Arabidopsis thaliana: one gene and its partner. The protein of the gene in region 1 purifies or fractionates together with the protein of each later gene. This does not show direct contact. Each region holds a gene or a part of one and is shown in the gene's direction. Other genes may lie near its edges.

What was found. The genes of interacting proteins can lie anywhere in the genome.
Region 2: the proteins of SQD1 (region 1) and AT2G35040 fractionate together in Arabidopsis thaliana (co-fractionation; one large-scale study listed by BioGRID). This does not show direct contact.

Annotation. Positions count from the first base shown.
Region 1 is NC_003075.7:15,932,297-15,939,976, forward strand, and holds SQD1 (sulfoquinovosyldiacylglycerol 1), read left to right. Parts: upstream 1-3,076; 5' UTR 3,077-3,246; intron 3,247-3,716; 5' UTR 3,717-3,754; coding exon 3,755-4,786; intron 4,787-4,868; coding exon 4,869-5,270; 3' UTR 5,271-5,537; downstream 5,538-7,680. Other genes in the region: ZIP9 (ZIP metal ion transporter family), read right to left, coding at 307-762, 1,393-2,054, 2,175-2,217, 2,308-2,322. UniProt on the Arabidopsis thaliana protein: Involved in the biosynthesis of sulfolipids found in thylakoid membranes. Converts UDP-glucose and sulfite to the sulfolipid head group precursor UDP-sulfoquinovose.
Region 2 is NC_003071.7:14,764,378-14,770,158, reverse strand, and holds AT2G35040 (AICARFT/IMPCHase bienzyme family protein), read left to right. Parts: upstream 1-1,840; 5' UTR 1,841-1,889; coding exon 1,890-1,997; intron 1,998-2,071; exon of another isoform or gene 2,072-2,090; coding exon 2,091-2,190; intron 2,191-2,287; coding exon 2,288-2,363; intron 2,364-2,466; coding exon 2,467-2,563; intron 2,564-2,719; coding exon 2,720-2,822; intron 2,823-2,929; coding exon 2,930-3,063; intron 3,064-3,159; coding exon 3,160-3,337; intron 3,338-3,422; coding exon 3,423-3,580; intron 3,581-3,710; coding exon 3,711-3,920; intron 3,921-3,990; coding exon 3,991-4,338; intron 4,339-4,427; coding exon 4,428-4,554; intron 4,555-4,660; coding exon 4,661-4,812; 3' UTR 4,813-5,014; downstream 5,015-5,781. Other genes in the region: AT2G35050 (kinase superfamily with octicosapeptide/Phox/Bem1p domain-containing protein), read right to left, coding at 1-451; URED (urease accessory protein D), read left to right, coding at 5,114-5,212, 5,298-5,363, 5,449-5,523, 5,622-5,666.

The DNA of each region.
Region 1 (7,680 bases):
ATGAAGGATTAGAATATGCTCGAAAAGGCGTCAAGAAAATCTTTGGATTTCAGTTGCATACTTGCTTGTAAAAACTAATTGTATTTGTTTTTGTTTTTTGTTCAAAAATTAATTATTTGTTTACCAGCTACAAAAATATATAACATGATTGATAAAGAGTGAATATCTAATAGAATTGATTACAAACATTATTTTGAAACAAATAGAGTGATAGGCATACCTATAATAATTCTGTCCAAAAGAAAAAAGAAAAAGGCATGCCTAAATTTATTACTTTCATAAACAAATAGTAATAATGAAAAGTGATCAAGCCCAAATTGCAAGAGCAGACATCATCCCAGCTCCAAGAAACAAAAAGCAATAAGAAACAACTTGAACTCTGAAATCAACACTCATCTTCTTGCTCAAGAAATCCGCAGCGATCAAATCCACAAGCGCCATGTACACAAGTATCCCCGCAGAGAGAGAATCGAGCACTCCTTCAGCCACCAATGCTGCAACGCTATAAGAGTTGTAAGATGAGGCAATGGCCGTTCCCACCGCTACACCGATCGGAGTAGTGATGGCGAAGAAGAAAGCCATCATGGCAGATCCACGCGGGGTTAGTCTGGCCTCTGCGACGCAGCCACCGAGGGCAAAACCTTCGAAGAATTGGTGGAAGGAAAGAGCGAGAAGGAGAGGACGTATGGTGCATGGGCTATGTGATACTCCAAGCGATATTCCTATGATTATTGAATGTGACACTATTCCCATTTCAAGTATCTGAATACAAAAATATAAGGGTATCATCAATTGATTTTGTGCATCGACACTATACAAGGAAATTATATAAACGGATTGGTTTGACTAAGTCACATAACGTCAAAATATATTAACACACACACACACACCAAAAAAAAAAAATGTTTCCACAATGCGTTTAAGTCGTCATTTGTATCTTTGGAAGAAAACTTAAATAATAGTATGATATTTTAGAATTATCTTATTTTTTCGTTTTCATATTAATAATGTTTTGGTAGAATGAACATGAAGTAGTACTATATATAATAGTTACGAAGATAACATTAAATAATTACTTAAACAAGCAATAAAATAAATTTTATTATTTTTTTCAATAACAAAATCTATATAGTGATTAGCAACTAACTAAACTTGGCATTGTAAAACTTTATAGTTGATTACTATAACAACTCTAAAACAGCTTATGCAAGTCATGTACAGTTATTAGAATTCATCCAATTGACTTGGCTACATTGTATATGAATGAAGTCAACTGCATTTGAAATAAATAAATCTTATTAGCATTAAAGAACTCAAAACTTAAAAGTCAGAGCTTACGAAAAACAAAGTCAAAGTCAAAAAACATATGAAGAAAAGAAAAAGGTCGTTTACCTGAGAAACAACAACGTGCCTCACACCACTGTCCAAGCCTACGTCCCCGTGGCCGTGGCTGTGGCCGTGTCCATGACCGGAAACACCACTTCTCTTAGAGAGAGCCTCAAAACCTTCGGCACCCATGGAGAGGCTATGACGGTGATGCTCCGCGTGAGCCCGCATCCCCACGATATGCAACGCCCCTCCATCTTCTTGATCTCTCAGAAAACCCGATTCAAGACCTGGGTCAGACATAACCGAAACTTGCGTACCAAGCGACTCGACGGACTGGTTCATCATCTTCTCCTGTTTCCTCTCGTAGTATCCCGTGATCATGAAATCCGCGAGCAGAGTAAGAAGCGCCGCGACCATGGCGAAGAATTCTGGAAAAGGGAACATTTTCCATGGAAACTCCGGCAGACATGGGTCGGACAAAGCTTTGGATCCGCCCGAGAGCATGTGAACGAACCCTGTTGCGAGGATAACTCCTGCTGCGAACGCTTTGGCTCCCCTCATTAAGCCACCGTTTAACGGAAGTAGGGTTCCAACTAGAGGAATCGAGACTCCGGCAGCTCCGGAGATAAGGATCGACGCCATAGCTGCGAACTTGAGGGTAAGAGCAGCTGCGTCATCTCGGCACGGGTCTGAGTCGCCCGAGTCACAGCTAGTTGTGAACGACTCTGTTTTGTTACATGCAAAAATAAATTGAGTTAACTTTGCTAAGAAAATCTCAAAATTTGCATTTAAGTGTGTTTAAGAGCGAAATGAAGTAATTGCTTTGAGATTTGAAGTGACAATACCTGTCAAACCAGATGATAATGGTCGAAGAAACTGCCAAAAATCCTGAAAACATTATGAGGCAAAATTATGTGAGGAAACAGGATTGAAGAAGCAAAATAACATTAAATAGATGAAGTGGAAGAAGTTTCAGACCTGTAAGAGAGACATTTACTAAATCCGATTAGGCGATTAAACTTGTAGAATTATATAAATTATTGCCAAGGAAACCAGCAAGCTAAGTATATATGGGTTATTAATATTATGGAGTTGTCTGTGTGTTTTATAAAGAAAGATTGGGAGAATGTCAATCAGTGCGAGGGTTTGTGTGTGCGTGCACGTACGTTAACAAGGTCACATGAGGTTCACGGGAATCAAATGACCATAGAATGTCGTCATTTTCATCTAGTACCCTCATTGACAAGAATATTAAAGTTTGGAAGATAATAACTACGAGAAAACAAATATAGAATTAGAGATGAGATGTATGAGAATGTTTTGTTATAATTGAAGTCTTTGTTCGTATCTTGCATCAGAAGTATGACTCTTGTTTGGTCAACTTGCAGAAAAATGACTATTACAATGCGAAATACTAGTAATGTTTTGCGTCTTAATAAAATTTCATTCAAAAGATTATGTAAGTTAGGTTTGCATTTTACAGTTGATTTTGTTTTTCTCCTATCTCATGATTCTCTGTTTTAATAATTAAAAGTTAAAATTTAGAAAATAGCCACAAACATATTCAAAAAGTATATATTTGGGCCAACCGGCCCAGTAAGGGAAGAATGTTCCTTAAGTTGCCTAAATGAGCGACTGAGAAACTGGCCCACAAAGGCCGGACCTGTATCATTCACAACCGGAAAACTTTAAAACTAATAAACCAACGTTCTTAAAAAAGCGACACTTTGGGCCATAATTTGTTGGGAAGGGAATAAGTAAGAATATGCTTTGGGCATATCTGATGATTTATATCTGTCTCATCTCATCTCTCATCGTTCCGGGAGAAGAGAAGAGAGACCCATCCCTCACTTCAAAGTTCAAAGTCTCGAAGGATCTTCTCCAACTCTCTCTAAACAAGATTCCAAATTTTCAAAGGTAAGCAATCGTTTCTTCTAATGAATTTCATTTCTCCGGTTTTGTAAGTTGAGTGATTTCGTTTTGAAGAAACTCTGAATATGATAGGAAATCAAAATTCACAGAGTTTTCATTCAGTTGGGTTTTCTCTGAATTTCATCAATGTACTTCTTTCTTACATTTACTTTAGTTGATCAAATAAATATCCAGTCTTTGACAATAGCTGATTTTCAGATTCGATAAAAGACTTCAAATTTCGTGTGTTTTGATTCTTCTCTTGTTATGGACGTAGCTGATTTAGGGGGGGGGGTGTGAAGATAAAGTTTCGATTTCTATTCATGTCTTTTTGGATTTTGATTTGAATTTGAAGTTAAACTAGAGAAAATCAGCTGAATCCTTACTTGTTATATGGTATGAAACATCTACTTGATATGTCTTGTTCTGCTGAACCAAATTATGTCTTGAAATCTTAGCTGCTTTTGTTTTTGCAGGTGAATTTGTTTGATAGAATCAAGAACAAACCTTTAAAATGGCGCATCTACTTTCAGCTTCATGCCCTTCAGTTATCTCACTTAGCAGCAGCAGCAGCAAGAATTCAGTTAAGCCGTTTGTTTCAGGGCAGACCTTCTTCAATGCTCAGCTTCTTTCAAGATCTTCTCTCAAAGGACTTCTCTTCCAAGAGAAGAAACCGAGAAAAAGCTGCGTTTTCAGAGCAACTGCTGTACCTATAACCCAACAAGCACCACCCGAAACATCTACCAATAACTCATCCTCTAAACCAAAGCGTGTTATGGTCATTGGTGGAGATGGTTATTGCGGTTGGGCTACTGCTCTCCACTTGTCCAAGAAGAATTACGAAGTTTGCATTGTTGACAACCTTGTAAGACGTCTTTTCGACCACCAGCTTGGACTTGAGTCATTGACTCCTATTGCCTCCATTCATGACCGAATCAGCCGATGGAAGGCTTTGACAGGGAAATCAATTGAGTTGTACGTTGGTGATATCTGTGATTTCGAATTCTTAGCTGAGTCTTTCAAGTCTTTTGAGCCGGATTCAGTTGTCCACTTTGGGGAACAGAGATCCGCTCCTTACTCGATGATTGACCGGTCCAGAGCAGTTTATACACAGCACAACAATGTGATTGGGACTCTCAACGTTCTCTTTGCTATAAAAGAGTTTGGAGAGGAGTGTCATCTTGTAAAACTTGGGACGATGGGTGAGTATGGAACTCCAAATATTGACATCGAGGAAGGTTATATAACCATAACCCACAACGGTAGAACTGACACTTTGCCATACCCCAAGCAAGCTAGCTCCTTTTATCATCTTAGCAAAGTTCATGATTCGCACAACATTGCTTTTACTTGCAAGGCTTGGGGTATTAGAGCCACTGATCTCAACCAAGGAGTTGTTTATGGAGTGAAGACTGATGAGACAGAGATGCATGAGGAACTCCGTAACCGACTGGATTACGATGCTGTGTTTGGTACAGCACTTAACCGGTTCTGTGTGCAAGCTGCTGTTGGTCACCCACTTACAGTTTATGGTAAAGGTGGTCAGGTAAATGACTTTCTTGATCTGTTTTCACATGAAATTTCAATCGAAAAATTTGAGGTTTTGATTGAAGTTTTTCCCTTTGCAGACGAGAGGCTACCTCGATATAAGAGACACGGTTCAATGTGTTGAGATCGCTATAGCAAACCCGGCAAAAGCTGGTGAGTTCCGGGTCTTCAACCAATTTACAGAACAGTTTTCAGTCAATGAACTGGCTTCACTCGTCACTAAAGCGGGTTCAAAGCTTGGGCTAGACGTGAAAAAGATGACGGTGCCTAACCCGAGAGTGGAGGCAGAAGAACATTACTACAACGCAAAGCACACTAAGCTGATGGAACTTGGACTTGAGCCTCACTATCTATCTGACTCACTTCTTGATTCGTTGCTCAACTTTGCTGTTCAGTTTAAAGATCGTGTGGACACGAAACAAATCATGCCTAGTGTTTCCTGGAAGAAGATTGGCGTCAAGACTAAGTCCATGACCACATAAAGTGCAGACCAATATTACACATAAGGAGAGATTATGAAAGAGATGATGTGTTGTTTGGTATCTTCAAACTTCATTTCTGCAAAAGACTTGCTAGGCTTAAGAGGTTTTGTCCATATTACATTGTGCAGGTTCTTTAATGTTAGATCTTAATTTCGATGAAAATGTTATAATGTTGCCTTAAATGTTATGTAATGAGAAAAACTATATTATATGAAAAATAAGAAAATGTTAAATAAGTAACAGAAAACCATCTTTTACTTCAGTTAAGAGAATCTGACGAATATCGATCAATGGTTGCAGAAAAATTTCTTCGAGATCTTAGACGAATAAAACTGTAATTAAATTTCTTCAATAAAATCTGGTTTAAAATTTATATAAGTTACGTAATACTTTTGGTGTATTAAATTTAAAATAATGGAGAGTGGTGTTGGTGGGTCATCGTCGTTGGCTATTTTTAAAAAATATTAATGTCTTTTCCAAATACGAAGGAAACTTGTGGGGTCAAACTCTAAGGAATAGAGTGGGTTTTGTATAATTATAATTGTAGCCCTAATGATTCTCTCGTTTTTTCGTATACTATTTTTCTAAAGAACAATAAACGATTCGATTACTACTATAGTTATAAAAAAAAAGAAACAGCTTACACATATTTTCACTTTCCCCATTTATTTTGTTTGACGAAAACCACATAACCAAAAGTAAGTCGATATCCCAATTGGCCAATTCCCATTTATTTTTTAATTGAAGAAAAATATGCAATATGATTTTATTTTTTTTCCGTCAAAATATGCAATATGATTATATGAATAAACTGCACTCTATCTGGACTCTGTGTTCCGCTTACGTACGTCTATGATTTTTTTTGCGTGCTTTTCTTTGAAACTATCAAATGAATCCTTAGTGGCCGAGCTGCCACCATATCTCAGAGTTACACGTAAAAGCGTATTGGGAAAATTTAATATTCATGTTGTGCGCCTCTTAACACATTTGTATCTACGATTTTGTCTCTGTTGTTTTTGCAGCATATCCGAAAATAGCACCAATGAGGAAAAGTGAGAGAGCTTGCTGTCCAAAAAGTGTATATATTTTTATTCAATTTTTTTAATGCTACTTACAAATGATATTGAAAAATAAAAGAAACTAGATATAAATAATAAAACAAGTGGATGGAATGATCAAATAATTGAACAAACAATTCTCCATAGTTAACACTTAACACTATTCAACTTAACTGAAATTAATAGTTTGAAAGCGTGGAGGCTTTTGGTGTGGAGGCACTGAGAGTTTTCTTTGCATTTTATTGCAAATATTAATATCATTATTTACTAAACATTTGTTGGAGAGATTGTTGGTTATGATTGATGAGCTCATCATCCTCGGCCTCCATCAGTATTCATCAACTTGCGAATTAAAAATATATACAAAATAGCATAACCTTAATTTCGAAGACATGTCACATGATCTCACACAAAATTCTTAATCCCACAAACTACCACCAAGTTGTATATAGGTCGGCAAGTTTTTTTCTTTTTTCAAGTTAATTTCGGATGTATGAACGTATGTGCATACACTTTACAGTATGGTTTTGAAACTTGAATATCAAAAATTTATCTATGGAAATTACTCCTTAGCAAATGATATCTGAGTAACAAAGAATAATAGTATTTTGTAACACGCACAAAAATATGAACTAGTGGAATATATTAAAAACGATGTCTCCGTTACTTCGCCTATACTGAAACTCGTTTGAGTTTTAACAAATTAAAGGTAAAAAATATATTACGCTTCGCACATGCAAAAAATAAAAATGACTGCATCCAGATCATCCGAAGCTCTCTCGGTAAACTAGCACTTTAGTGTGAGATCAGCACCTAACATTTATTTGACATAGGTCAACCTTGACCCTTGAAATGTGGAACTTGGACTTTTGACCTCATTTTCCTCAACCTACTAGAAAAATCGACCGGTATAAAGAAGCTACATATAGCATTCTATTCCAATTACCAACTCGAAAGAAGAAGAAGAAAAAAGAGAAATTCTTGGTCTTTTCTGAATCTTTGAAAAAGAAAATCAATAATTGTGGGGAGGACAAAAAAAGAGGGTTTGTTTTTGGAGATGCCACTTAAGCCCAGCGTCGCTGTCAAAACCCCCTCAATTATTGAAAGTGGGTCTTCTGATTCATTCATTTCCAAAACCCTTATGAATTTATAACCAAATAATTCAAAAATGTATATACAATTCCACAACTAACCTTTTTCTCAAACAAGATACGTTTGTTTAATTAAGGGAAAGATTAAGACATGGAAATTTCACTGAAACTTCTAATGCATAAACACTACCGACTTCGTACCTAAACGGGATCAAGAAACAATCACGAAATCGTCTGACGACTTAGGATAGTCATCTCCAT
Region 2 (5,781 bases), on another chromosome or scaffold:
TAACTGGGGCTGACTGGACCAGTTCATGATAGGTCTTATCTTCAATTCTAGAAGGGGGTTTCCTCTCGTGCTCAAAGCTCTGACGTTTTTCTTCTATGTTAAGCACTGTAGCGTTAGGGCCACTCTCTGACATTGGATGAACCATTCCCAGAGCACTTAAGTTAACAGAAACAGGCATACCACTGTGCTCACCATACACATTTGGGATGAACTGCGGTTTCATAATAACCCTATCTCTCATAAACTCAAAAGCAAATTCTTCACCGGTCTGTATTGAGTAGTTTAGCACTGGCCGAGCAGGGGTTGAAACACCATAATCTGGAGGTCGTACATAAGTGTTAACATTAGTTGAAGAGTCGTGGGAAAACCTTTGATTAATGGAGCCAAGTCCCTCATCTCTAGGGTCAGGGGCAGTATACCGAACATGTTCATAACCTTTTGCTTGATCCATGTTTTCTTTCTCAAGGTGTCTATCTATCTAGTTCATAAGCTCCCTCACAAACGCTTGTAGGCGACATATCATGATCATGACCCAAGTAAAATCTTTGCATAAGCATCCTTCGCAAATTTCTAACGTTTTGGCTGCAGAACAGGACGACTTCTATCATGAACAACTCAAACTCTCATTGAGGTGCCTGAAATAGGAGAAGAGTAACTTTACTCAAGTAGTCAAACATATTCAAGAACAAAAAAACCAAAATAGCATACGGCTAAAACTCAGAAAACCATACTATTTAAGGAACATTTTCGGTATACAAACCAATAAAACTCTTTACTCTAGCAGGGACAGATCATCCAGTACAAATATCTGACTGTGCATACTTTCCAACATGAAACTAGCTAAAATGACTACTTTCTAGTCTCTTCAAGTTTAAACTAACAGGAATCGCTGAAACTAAAATCGATCAACTTCACCAAACTATTAGCAAACCCATCGTAACTTTGAGAGAGTGTAAATCAACAGATCAAAACATAGAACTAAATCCAAAATTCAATCAAGTCCGTGAAACAATTCCAAACCTCAAAAAGGAAACAAATAAGCGTCATTTCGAACCAAAAACTGAGCTAAAAACCTCTACCCAACCAAAAAACAAAAGCCGATCAAGCCATCAAAACCACTGAAACTCTAGAAAATGCAAGATCTGAGTATCATTACCCGAAATTCAGGTGGAAACACATCGGATCCAGAGATTTTCGATAATAATGATCAAAATTCAAAAACAGCATACACCTAAAAGGAAGACGAGTAAGCAAAGAAGGAGAGAAGTAGAGAAAAAGGTTTATACCAGGAAAGGCGGCACCAGAGACTGTGAAGCGTCCTCGGTTTGACGATCGATGAGTAGGAGAAGAAGCCAAGTCCTTCCTTAAAATCTCTCTTCTAATTTTGACAATTCGAAAAACAAAACTATATTCTCGAGAAAAAAACTATTATGCCTACCAATAAAATAATTGTTATCTACTTACATTATTTAAAATTCTGAAAAGCAAATAAAATATCATATAAAACATAAGAAGCTTTCGTCATCTCCATAGTTAGTCTTTTGTAATATTACCACTCTGATCCAATAAAGTTTTATTTCTTACTAATTAGTTTACACTTGAGAATTTTGGTTTCTACTAAATTTTTTAAAATTTGGAGTTAAAATAGTTTAGTTTTATTTTTGGGGGAAATAAAAAGAGAAGCTTTATTCCAATTTTCCAAATATTCCAGGTGTAATCTAACTGTCAAGGCCATAATAATAAATACATAATTCCACCTGACGCCAATAATAAATTACATATTTTCCTTTTTTTTTTATTTTTTTTTCTAATTTATTTCCAAAATTAGCCGCAAAATCACAAAACCTAACAGAGCTCAACACTACACACTGTTTCAAAATCAGACTACTATGCTCAGCTCAGCCGCCACCGCCACCTCCGTGAGTGCTCGCTCCGGCGATATTCTCTGCGGCTTGTTTCGCAAAAAATCCGTCGCGCCTTTTCGTTTTACTCAGCCTGTGAGTTCTCCTCTGTGTGTGGACGTGTTCCTTTGTGTCTTTGTTTCATGTTCTGCTAAACTTTTTAATATTAGTGGAATTTTCAATGAGCAGGTCTATCGTACGTCGCTGTGTCCAAGTTTCGTTGCTGTTCGAGCCATGGCAGAGTCTCAGACTGCTCAGAGGAATCAGCCGCAATCCTCAGGCTCCTCTGGTTTACAATTTTTCTTTTTGCTGCAATTTCAAATTCAGTGATCGATTTTCAGTTACGTTTTAGTGATTTTCAAATAATCGGGCTTTAATTGAATCAGGGGAGAAGCAAGCTTTGATATCTCTATCTGACAAGAGGGACTTGGCTTCTCTTGGCAACGGTCTGCAAGAATTGGGGTATGTGTTCTTCACAACTCTCTCTTACTTAGAACTATACAAATTTTGGTTTTGTTTCTATCTTATATGTAAATGATTCCTTTTTTCATTGATATTTGTGTAGATACACTATTGTTTCTACTGGAGGAACTGCCTCTACTTTGGAGAATGCTGGAGTCTCTGTGACCAAAGTGGAGAAGCTTACTCATTTTCCAGAAATGGCATGTTTTTCTTTTCTCTTATGCTCGCTGCTCTTGCTAAAAGTTTTGGTCTTGTGATCTCGCTGATATTTATATTTAAGTTTTGGTTTATACCATTGTTTTGTTGAGTTTAGTATATTAAACTTAGCTCTCCTTTTTTTTTTTCTTCTCTTAAAGCTTGATGGCCGTGTGAAAACTTTGCATCCAAACATACATGGTGGTATCCTCGCTAGAAGGGATGTGGAGCATCATATGGAAGCTCTTAATGAGCATGGGATTGGTGAGTTTTGACCTTTGATTGATCCTCTACATTAAGCTTGAGACTAAGTCATTTATAGTGTCTCCTTATGTTTAACTGTACCTTTTTTTTTTTTAATTCTATGACAGGTACATTTGATGTTGTGGTTGTCAATTTGTACCCGTTCTATGAAAAAGTTACTGCTCCAGGTGGGATCAGTTTTGAGGATGGGATTGAGAACATTGACATTGGTGGCCCTGCTATGATTAGAGCAGCTGCTAAGGTAATACATATATCTGTGCATATGAGACTTTTTCTTTACACTTGCAAGATTATTTTCAAGATTATAAATGTATATTTTCTATTGTTTTTTCAACAGAACCACAAAGACGTTCTCATTGTTGTCGATTCAGGAGATTATCAAGCTGTTTTGGAGTATCTCAAAGGAGGACAGAGCGACCAACAATTCCGCAGAAAACTTGCGTGGAAGGCCTTTCAGCATGTTGCTGCATATGATTCTGCGGTTTCAGAATGGCTATGGAAGCAGACTGAAGGAAGTATGTGATTGTTTTTATGTGATCCTCCTTACACTAGTTATGGCAATTGGCAACTTACATTGATTGATATTCATGTCTTTCTCAGAAGAGAAGTTCCCTCCCAGCTTTACAGTTCCGCTTGTACTTAAGAGTTCTCTTCGTTACGGTGAAAATCCTCATCAAAAAGCTGCATTTTATGTTGATAAGAGCCTTGCTGAAGTGAATGCCGGTGGTATCGCAACAGCGATTCAGCATCATGGAAAGGTAAGAAAGTATGCTACTTTTTCTGTCCGGTGTAATTTACAGAGCAAATAGTTTTAAACTGCCATTTATATCCTTATCCTCGCTTTCAAGCCTTATTATGTTTAACTTTTCTATTTATTTCTGTGAGCAGGAAATGTCATACAACAACTATCTTGATGCTGACGCTGCATGGAACTGTGTGTCGGAATTTGAAAACCCAACATGTGTAGTCGTGAAGCATACAAATCCTTGTGGTGTGGCCTCTCGTGATGATATTCTTGAGGCTTACCGGCTAGCTGTAAAAGCTGACCCAGTTAGTGCCTTTGGTGGCATTGTAGCTTTCAATGTTGAAGTTGACGAGGTAATCAAAAGTCAAACTACTGTTGTCCCATACATTATTCAATTGTTTAGTGATCTGTAACTGTCTCTAGGTTCTTGCGAGGGAGATCCGAGAGTTCAGGAGCCCAACAGACGGGGAAACTAGAATGTTTTATGAAATCGTGGTTGCTCCAAAGTATACTGCTAAAGGTCTTGAAGTCCTCAAAGGGAAATCAAAAACTTTGAGGATCCTCGAAGCTAAAAAGAATGACCAAGGGAAACTATCGCTCAGACAGGTTGGTGGCGGCTGGTTGGCTCAGGACTCGGACGATTTAACTCCAGAAGACATCAGCTTCAATTCTGTCTCAGACAAAACTCCGACTGAAAGCGAACTTGCGGATGCAAAATTTGCCTGGCTCTGCGTTAAGCATGTCAAGAGCAATGCCATTGTGATAGCAAAGGTTGGATTTTCCTCTCTGATTCCTTTTCTTGTTTCTCTTTCTGTACTTGTTTGCTAGTAGTTTATTCTGATTCTTGGGTTGGCTCATAGAACAATTGTATGCTGGGGATGGGAAGCGGACAGCCAAACCGAGTAGAGAGTCTGAGAATAGCTTTCAAGAAAGCTGGGGAGGAAGCTAAAGGAGCTGCCTTGGCCAGTGACGCATTCTTCCCATTCGGTATATATATTTTTCTCTCCGAAACCATTCTTCTGTCTGAAATGACTCATCAATCAACAAATGTTAGCCGTTCTGAATTGGAAATTTGTTGTTGTGTGAATTGCAGCTTGGAAAGATGCGGTGGAAGAGGCGTGCCAGATGGGAATAGGAGTGATAGCAGAACCTGGAGGCAGTATTAGAGACCAAGACGCTATTGATTGCTGCAAAAAGTATGGAGTCTCTCTGCTCTTCACCAACGTTAGACATTTCCGCCATTAAGGACACATCCCTCCAGTTTTGCTCTTATAAACACATCCAAGAGAGTTTCTGAAGAAGAAAACCCACCAAACAAAACACAAAGAGTGGGAAATAAAACTGTTGTAACATTAATTTGGATTGCGTTCGAGTTTATGTATGATTAGAACCTGAGAGCTGTTCCTACTTATAAATTTGACATTTTTCACCCAAAATCATATCTTTCTCTACATCCAGAAACTGATGAGATTTGCATATAAAATATTCAACATTTCTACTCAAACTGGAGTGAGAAAGTCGACGACAGTGTGGAGAGAGATCAGAGATGGCGACAGGGAAAGTGGTGGTGGAGAAAGTGGGAGGAAGATCTACAGCTACGAGCTGCTTCTCGAAGTATCCTCTCAAGTTCTTACTTCCTAGCAAGGTCTCCTCTCTCTCTCTACGTAGAGTTCACAGTTTCGAATTTTCAATCTTTAGTTATTAAAGTTCCGGCGACACTGAACTTTCAGGCAGCTCCTGCTGGAACTGACGTTGTCTGGATTTACAGTATCACTTATGGTGGCGGCATTGTCTCTGTATTTCCCTATTTCTCTGTCTCTTTATTAATGAATTTGCCATCGATGCGCTTGAATCAATCTAGTTCTTGTTCAAATTATGTAGGGCGATTCGATTTCATGTGAATTCACAATTGGTGATGGATGCACTGCAGTTATTACAACGCAGTCTTCTACTAAGGTTGAATCAATTTAGGGCTTTTCTCTCTCTTTGCAATGGACACTAATTTCATCCTACGTGGTTGACTTTCTGTTGATGGATCTTGTGATTTCACACAGGTGTACAAGGCAATAGGATCAAAGTGTTCTGAACAGATATTGGAAGTAATGTTTCTTTCACATTTCTACTAAAATCATTTTGAGCTTTCTTAGTAGAACAGAGTGCTATTGCAATAGAATAGGACCATTTTCTTTGATTCATGTTCCTGATTGATCTTTC